2 linked regions of the Cricetulus griseus genome follow. The protein of the gene in region 1 interacts with the protein of each later gene in a biochemical or structural test. Links are inferred from orthologs where the notes say so. Each region holds a gene or a part of one and is shown on either strand. Other genes may lie near its edges.

Region 1 (3,800 bases):
TTAGTGGCCTCTCCCATTAGTGTGGAGCTGGCAGGCCCAGGCTTTGCCCATTACTGTGTGAAGCAAGGCTGAGCTTGTCTCTCATCTGCCACCAGGGCATATTTCTTTTTCCTGTGATTCCGAGGGAGATCACCTCTTTCTAGTTTCTAGTCTGCCTCTCGCCACCTTCTTGTTTTGTTTTGCAGTTCTAGGAATTGAAACCAGGGTCTTGTGCACTCTAGCTAACATCTCCAGTCCTATTTTTACTTATTTATTAATGATTTTGCTTTTATTTGCTTTTATTTTATGTGCATCACATTTTATGTGATGGTGTTTTGCCATCATATGTGGCTGTCACATTCTCTGGAACTGGAGTTACAGACACTTGTGAGCCACCACGTGGGTGCAGGGAATTGAATCCAGGTCCTTTGGAAGAGCAGTCAGTCCTCTTAACCACTGAGCCATCTCTCCAGCCCCTAATTTTTATTTTTGAGAGAGGGTCTCACCAAGTTACCCAGACTGGTCTTGAATGTAACCCAGGCAGAGTTTGAACTTAGAATTCTTTTCTCTTTTTTTTCTTACATTTATTAATTTGTGTGCATATGTGAGCATACATGCCACATGGCACCCTGAGGAGGTCAGAGGAAAACTTCCTTTTTTTTTTCCCCAGACACGGGGTTTCTCTGTCCTGGAACTAGCTCTGTAGACCAGGCTGGCCTCAAACTCACAGAGATCCAACTGCCTGTGCCTCCTGAGTGCTGAGTTAAAGGCGTGCGCCACCACTGCCTGGCGGTCAGAGGACAACTTTCAGGAGATGTTTCTCTCCTTCCACAGTGTGGGTTCTAGGGATCGAACTCTGTTTAGCAGATGTGGTGGCATGTGTCTACTCACTAAGCTGTCTCACTAACCCTCAGACAGGTTGTCTTGCCTTTTGAGTGTCGTGCCTCAGCCTCTGAAGTAGCTCATTACAGACCAGGACTGGCTTTGTCTGCTTTGTGACTGGCTAATTAGAACAAAACTTGGCCTTTACCCTGGACCGGTCTCCATTGTCAGTTCGCAAGATACCTCCTTAACCAGGGCCTGATGTGAGGAGATTCTCCTACAGAACTGGGGGAAGTACCCCACTCCTCACACTCCTCCCTCCACTGCCCTTCCTCTACCATCCCTGTCTGGGTGGTGGCCCTTTCCCCCTTCTTCTCTAAGCTCCTCTAGACCCTTTCTTCCTGCTCTGGACCCGGGAATGGAGACAAGAGAAGAGAGTGAACTCATTCAGCCGTCCACCCCCACAGACCCTCCTTGCATTTCCCATCATACCCACACCCCCTGCTGGGCCCTGCCCAGCTGGATGTGAGTCAGGGACCCTAGGGATGGTGAGAACTGCTGTCTCCTCTTAGTTCTGCTCCTCCCCTATGGAAATACAAAGTTTAGTGGAAAGGAATTGGGAAATAGAGACACTGTGCCCTAAGAGCCGGCTGGCCACTGCGGAACCTGCTGTCAGTCTTGCTCCAATCACAGCCATGTTAGAGGGCAATGAGTTGACCCTGGGAAGTCCTGAGAGAAGTTGATTGGGACTGAGTCATCATTTGAGGTCTGAAGATGGGAGCTGGCTGGCATTGCAGAGATGACAAATGAGGGCCCAAAGCTATCCCAGGGGCTGGGATTTGAAGCCAGTCTGAACATCAAGGGCCTGGGCCCCTCATCCTCAAAGCATTTCTGCCCCCCCCAGCCCCTGTGGTGTAGCTGCCACGGAAGAGGGTAGCTGCTGGTCAGTGGGCAGCTTAATGACGGGGTGAGACATCTCCACCCTTCCCTGACCCTGCCGAGGAATGTCTGGGCCCTGGCAGTGTCATGCCCTGTGGGTGTGGATGAGCACACTTCCCTTCTTCTTTATCCACCTTCCAGAAGACTCATGTCCTCAGTCTCCTCATGTCCTCCTCAGGGGTATCTTCCTGGACACCATTGTCCCCAAGTATGAGGTGAACGGGGTGAAGCCGTCCATCGGTCAAAGGACCAGACTCAGCAAGGGGGACATCGCTCAGGCCCGGAAACTCTACAAATGCCCAGGTTAGAACAGGGAAGGGACAGACCGGGGGGGATGGAGGGTAGAGTCCAAGGAAGGCCGAGGCCAGGGCCCAGGACCACCTAGAAAGTCACAGCTGTCAGTCTCCAAGAAGGGTGTTGGGAAGGGGGAACAATAAGGAAGGGACAGTGTTTCCAGTTAAGGACCAAACTGGGGCCAGGCTGGTAGGTGGTAGGGAGGACCAGAAGGGTGAGGATAAGTAGGGGCAGGAAGGGGCAGCAACTAGCCTCTCTCCTGGGCAGTGAGGAGGAGGCGAGGCCCACCGAAAGAGCTTGACCTGAACTCTGGAATCCATGTTGCCTTGACAACAGGACATCTGGTTACCCTGGCAGCACTAGACCAGGAAAGTAGGATGGTTTCTGCTTATATGTAAGGAGGAGGGGGTGTATCTTAAAGGAACAGAACCCCTCTCTTCAGCCACTCTTGTCTCCCCAATGGATTCTAGAGCTTAGGGGTGAGCCAGAGTTGGGCGTCTGGCACCTGCAGTCAGTAGCCTGGTTACTTTTTTGCCTTGACAGCCTGTGGCGAGACCCTCCAAGACAGCACCGGCAACTTCTCCTCCCCCGAGTTCCCCAACGGCTACTCTGCCCACATGCACTGTGTATGGCGCATCTCAGTCACGCCCGGGGAGAAGGTAACTGTGATTGACCACCTGTCTGAGTCTTCCTTCCTCTCTTGGGACCCCGGAAGTGGGAGAGCATCTCCCTCCAGGAGCCTCAGCCCGTGAACTTCTGATACAGGGTGACCTACCTGGTCATCAGCATGAATGCATTAAGTATGCCATGAGGGGGGCTCCCACCAGTTCTAGCCTCACGCTGTCCCCATTCTCCCCGACCAGCTGTGCATCAGCGCTAATCTGAAGATAGTGTTGCTATGTACAGTTGCCAGGTAGTGCTATTGCGATTGTGTAGCTCTTCTTGAGTGCTTTCTAAAGTGCCTGTCATATGGCCCCTCTTTTAATTTTCATGGATGCCCTGAGTCTTCATGTTATAGAGGAGGAAACTGGATCACAGGAATATTAAGTAACTTGTCCAGGTCATACAGTTAACAAGGACAGGGTAAGATGAGAACCATTCCTAGGACTGGGTTCAATCCCAGCCTTTTCTGGGATGCCCTGGGTGGCCTTGGGTGAACCACTCAGCCCCAGCCCTTGGCTCTCTCCTCTATATCGTCAGAGCTTGAGTCAGGGATTCCCAAAGGGCCCTTCTCAGTTCTCACATGCTGTGGTCCTGAGAACAATTAAGAGCAAGGCAAATGCCTCCAGCAAGATGCTTCTGGCTATGGCCGTCCCTCCACCCCTGTGGTCTGGGACCCTCAGGTCCTGCTCTGCCTGCTGCTCATATATGCCAGCAGAGTAGAACCAAATGCGTGAGGGGCCCACAAGCTTGCCAGTGCAGTCTCCCACTGCATGGGATGGATTAGCCTTGTTTGAATACCTGAGGTGAAAAGATCTTGGGACTTCCCATACTATTCTGTTCTGTTGCTGACTCTTAATGCTGTTGGAGAAAGGGGGAGCTTCTGTCCCTGGAAACCCTCAGGGCTTCTCAAGAGCAGTCCCTTGTAAACCGCCTCCTGTTTCCCAGATAGCTCTCCAACCCAAGAAGGCTAATGTCCTCCTTTGTTTTTAAATTATATTATGTGTATGGGGTGTGTACATGTGAGTGCAGGGCCCGAAGAGGCCAGAGGCGTCAGATCCTCCTGGAGCTGAAGTTACAAGCATTTGTAAGCTGTCTGATAAGGG
Region 2 (4,426 bases), on another chromosome or scaffold:
TGAGGGAGCTGGGGAATGATGGGGTGTGTCTGGTTAACACTGGGCCCAGAGCACATCTTTAATCCCAGCCCCGGGGGAGGCAGAGGTAGGCTGATCTCTGTGAGTTTGAGGCTAGCCTGGTCTACCTAGCATGTTCCAGCCAGCCATGGCTACATAATGAGAACCTGTCTGAAAAAGAAGGAAAACCAGACAGATTGACTGGACTCAGATGCCTTTCTTCTACAAGGGGCACAGGGACCTGAACAACTAACCACACAGCTCTGTTTGTAAGCCTGCCCTTGGTTGCCCAATGGCCCTCTCCCGTTCCTACCACTATACATGTGACAAGAGAAATAACCAGGCCCATCTGTCCCCGTCTTAGGAGAGACAGCTGCTGAGCCTCCCCCACAAATAACTCTGCTGGCTCTTCTCTTTCTTGCCTTGGTCCTGGCTCTAGCTCCGGTGCTTTCTCCTCAGTGCCTGTCTCCCCACGGTCTCTGTCCTCAGGGATCTCCTGGCCTGACCTTGTGCTCTGCCCTTGTTCTTCCTCAGGGTTTCTCCTGTGCCTGCTCTGAAGATGGGCTGTCCACTAAGGAGTATGGCCCAGATCCCGGAATTCTCTAGTTCAATCAGAAGAGATGCCTCCTAAGATTAGGAAGCCGGGTGCTGGGATGGTTGTGAGAATGGTGGGGGTGGAGGAGATGGGGAGGCAGGACAAAGGAGAGGAAAAAGAGTGGTCCCTTGGATGAAGGAAAGGGTGGGAAAGCCAGGTGATGGTTGGATGGACTTGTGAACAGGTTACAAGGGGGAGGTTATTACTCCACTGGGTGCGGGGAGCATTTCTTGATTCTGGCTTGGTCCCTGTGCCTGGGAACTCCAGAAAGAGAAGAGACCCTAGAAGGGAAAGAGGAATACAGCCTGAGTGAAAGGAGGAGGGTGCCCTGGGTCTTAGACAGGGAAGATCGTTGTCCTTTTCAAAGACAAGTCCTCATCCTCCAGGGCCCATCCTGCCCATGAGTGGTACAGGCCGGAGGCCCAGCCTCTGCCCTTTCACTTAGCTTGAGGCTCCTGTCTCTCTGGATGGATACCACAGGGGTGGCCGCAAGGAGTGTGTGTGGGGGTGTCGAAGCCCGCCTCTCCTCCCCCCCTTTGCGCCCCCTGGTTCCTCCCTTCCCCCTGCCCACTCCGCTCCCCCCTCCTCCAGTCCCTCCCTCCTCCCCTGCCGGGTCCCAGCCTGTCCCCCTCCCCCACTCGCGATCCGGCCGCTGCTGCTGGGCCGGACCCCCCGGGCTCAGCCGGGCTCCTTGCGGAGCCGCCGCCGCGCCCCGTTTGCTGAGGAGGAGGCCCCGGGCCGGGACTCCTGGCGCGGGCATAAAACGGGCCGGAGCCAGCGCCTAGGGCACTACAGCGGCGTACGGCCCGGGTCAGCGCCCAGCCGCCCGAGCTCTCCCGCCCCGCCCGGCCGGGAGCGGACTCCGCGACTGCGAGACGAGCCCCTCGCCACTGCCCCCCTCCTGGCCCCGGCCCCCTCCCGCCGGCCCGCCTCCGGTCCGGCCCTACTCCCTCTCCTGCTCCCTCCTCCCGCCCGCCTCCCCAGCTGTCCGCTCCGCGTCATGCCGAGCCTCCCGGCCCCGCCGGCCCCGCGGCTGCTCCTCGGGCTGCTGCTCCTCGGCTCGCGGCCGGCCGGTGGCACTGGCCCCGAGTCCCCCGCGCTGCCCATCCGTCCTGAGAAGGAGCCGCTGCCTGTTCGGGGAGCGGCAGGTAGGTGGGCTCCAGGGGGGAGGCGCGGGCGGGGAGTCTGGCTCGGGGCAAGTCTGCACCCACCGGGACAGGGCCCCGGGCGCAGGTGGCTCGGCGCAGCGGGAGGGCGGGAGGGGTAAGCAGAGGCGGCGGGGCGCAACGGTGCCAAGGGACCCAGGGCCTGGCGGGCAGAGCTCGGAGCAGGCATTACGGCACGAGCAACCGGACAGCGGCCGCCAGCCAAGCCCGTCCCCACAGGCTGCTCCTTCGGCGGGAAGGTCTATGCCTTGGACGAGACGTGGCACCCGGACCTGGGGGAGCCTTTTGGGGTGATGCGCTGCGTGCTGTGCGCCTGTGAAGCGGTGAGTGGATACCGCAGCTGCCCGCCCTACCCTAGAGGGTAGCGGAACGCTGGCGTCCTAAGCCGTAGTAGCCTCGGAGATGCTCAGGGGAAGGCTGGTCCTCAAATCTGGGGAAACCCCTTTCAAGTCTGCGGTGTTGACAGTTATTGATCGCCCACTATGTGACTGGCTTTTAGCCAACTTCCCCCATCCCATTGCAACCTTGCTAGATAAATGGCATTAATTAGCCTTACTTTGCAGACTTAGAGAAGTTAAGAAACTTGTCCAGGGTCATGTAACTTGTAAATAGCGGAGCTGACTGATTCCAGCAGAGGACCTTACCCTGGCGTCTGATGGTTGCACGTTACACTCACTTAATTTCCCTGTGTTCTCTGCCATCAGCCTCAGTGGGCTCGCCGTGGGAGGGGCCCTGGCAGGGTCAGCTGCAAGAACATCAAACCCCAGTGCCCCACCCTGGCCTGCAGGCAGCCGCGCCAGCTGCCAGGACACTGCTGCCAGACCTGCCCGCAGGGTGAGGCCCACTGTCTCCCGTGTTAGGGAGGGTGGAAGGCTCAACACTAGGTTCTGTGCGGCTTGGATCGCTGAGGAGGACTGGCCCTCCTGGTACCCTGCTGAATCTAGTGGTCTTATTCCTTACCCCCCCCAACGCAGAGCGCAGCAATTTGGACCGACAGCCAGCTGGCCTAGTCTTCGAGTATCCAAGGGACCCAGAGCACCGCAGTTACAGCGATCGAGGGGATCCCGGCGCTGGCGAGCGGACACGTGCTGATGGCCACACGGGTAGGCTGGGGTGGAAGTGGGCCTGACGAAGTTTGGGGCCAGCGGCAAGGGTTGACAGTGCTTAGGCCATCCTCTCTTCTCACAGATTTTGTGGCGCTGCTGACAGGACCGAGGTCGCAGGCGGTAGCTCGCGCTCGAGTCTCTCTCCTGCGCTCAAGTCTTCGCTTCTCTATCTCCTACCAGCGGTGAGACCAGGGAAAGAGCAGCGCGGCTAGGAGTAGTGAATGGGGGCATGAAAGGGGGAAGACTGCGGGTTCTGGATCCAGTCTCACTGGACCTTTCTTCACAGGCTGGACCGCCCCAGCCGGGTTCGGTTCACAGATCCCACCGGCAACATCCTGTTTGAACACCCTGCTGCCCCCACCCAGGATGGCCTGGTGAGATGATGCCACTTACGTGTACTTATCCAAAATGGGCACTTGCTGAGAGCATGGTTGGCATTGCCTCCTTTGGTTCTCACAACAGCCCAGTGGGAGAAAGGCCCTGACATTATGATGCCCATTTTACAGAGGAGGGAACTGAGGCTCAGAATAGCAGAATGTGATTTGTTCAAGGTCATTTGGCTAGCAAGTGGTAAGCCAGGACTTGAACTCAAGGATCCTGGGTCCTTTTTAGGAGGGTCTGGGGTCTCCCTTCCATACTCCTCCCTCACCAGGACTGGGCCTCTTAGCTGGCTTGTCCTGCATAGTGACTGTAGACTTCCTTGTCTCTTTGCTGTAGGTTTGTGGGGTGTGGCGTGCAATGCCTCGGCTATCTCAGAGGCTCCTGAGGGCAGAACAGCTGCATGTAGCCCTGGTGACACCCACTCACCCTTCAGGAGAAGTCTGGGGGCCTCTCATTTGGCAAGGTGCTCTGGCTGCAGGTAGGAAGAGTGAAGAGTTCCCAGATAGAAAAGACTGAGCCTTCTCTATCCAGGGGTGGGTGGACTCACGAGAGGCTCCTCTGATGGCTGTCATGCCCTCCATTCCCCAGAGACCTTCAGTGCCACCCTTACTCTGGAAGGCCCACAGCATCGGGGTGTAGGGGGCATAGCCCTGCTCACCCTCAGTGACACAGAAGACTCCTTACATTTTTTGTTGCTCTTCCGGGGTCTGCTGGGACCCAGGAATGAAGGTAAGCAGGTGAGAAGGCGTCCGGTGAGAGTATAGGGAGGGAGCTCAACTTTCAGAAATGCTCACATGTGCAGCCCTTGCAGGTCCCGCTCAGGTTCCCCTGAGGCTTCAGATTCTCCACCAGGGACAGCCACTCCGAGAGCTCCAGGCCAACACCTCAGCTGAGGTAAGGGGAGGCCTGGGTCTTGCTGCTGCTTGCTCTGGCCTCTTGTTGTCCACCACATTCCGCTCTGTTCCCAGGAGCCAGGTTTTGCTGAGGTGCTGCCCAGCCTGACAGACCAAGAGATGGACTGGCTGGTGCTGGGGGAGCTGCAGATGGTCCTAGAGAGGGCAGGTGGGCCAGAGCTACGCATCAGCGGATACATTACCGCCAGGCGGAGCTGTGACGGTGAGGCAGGGTGGGGCTCGGCGCTGTGGGCACACACAACTTAGAGGCACAAACATGAGCTAAAG

What was found.
Region 2: of the proteins of Bmp1 (region 1) and Chrd, one has a biochemical effect on the other in vitro, tested with the Homo sapiens proteins (3 studies listed by BioGRID and IntAct). The link is inferred for Cricetulus griseus from reciprocal best matches to the Homo sapiens genes BMP1 and CHRD.

The regions. Positions count from the first base shown.
Region 1 is NW_023276807.1:225,147,632-225,151,431, reverse strand, and holds part of Bmp1 (bone morphogenetic protein 1), read left to right. Parts: intron 1-1,918; coding exon 1,919-2,043; intron 2,044-2,577; coding exon 2,578-2,693; intron 2,694-3,800. UniProt on the Homo sapiens protein: Metalloprotease that plays key roles in regulating the formation of the extracellular matrix (ECM) via processing of various precursor proteins into mature functional enzymes or structural proteins.
Region 2 is NC_048597.1:67,916,574-67,920,999, reverse strand, and holds the start of Chrd (chordin), read left to right. Parts: upstream 1-1,592; coding exon 1,593-1,740; intron 1,741-1,911; coding exon 1,912-2,081; intron 2,082-2,462; coding exon 2,463-2,592; intron 2,593-2,726; coding exon of another isoform or gene 2,727-2,732; coding exon 2,733-2,861; intron 2,862-2,946; coding exon 2,947-3,046; intron 3,047-3,150; coding exon 3,151-3,238; intron 3,239-3,581; coding exon 3,582-3,723; intron 3,724-3,833; coding exon 3,834-3,974; intron 3,975-4,056; coding exon 4,057-4,139; intron 4,140-4,213; coding exon 4,214-4,361; intron 4,362-4,426. UniProt on the Homo sapiens protein: Dorsalizing factor. Key developmental protein that dorsalizes early vertebrate embryonic tissues by binding to ventralizing TGF-beta family bone morphogenetic proteins (BMPs) and sequestering them in latent complexes.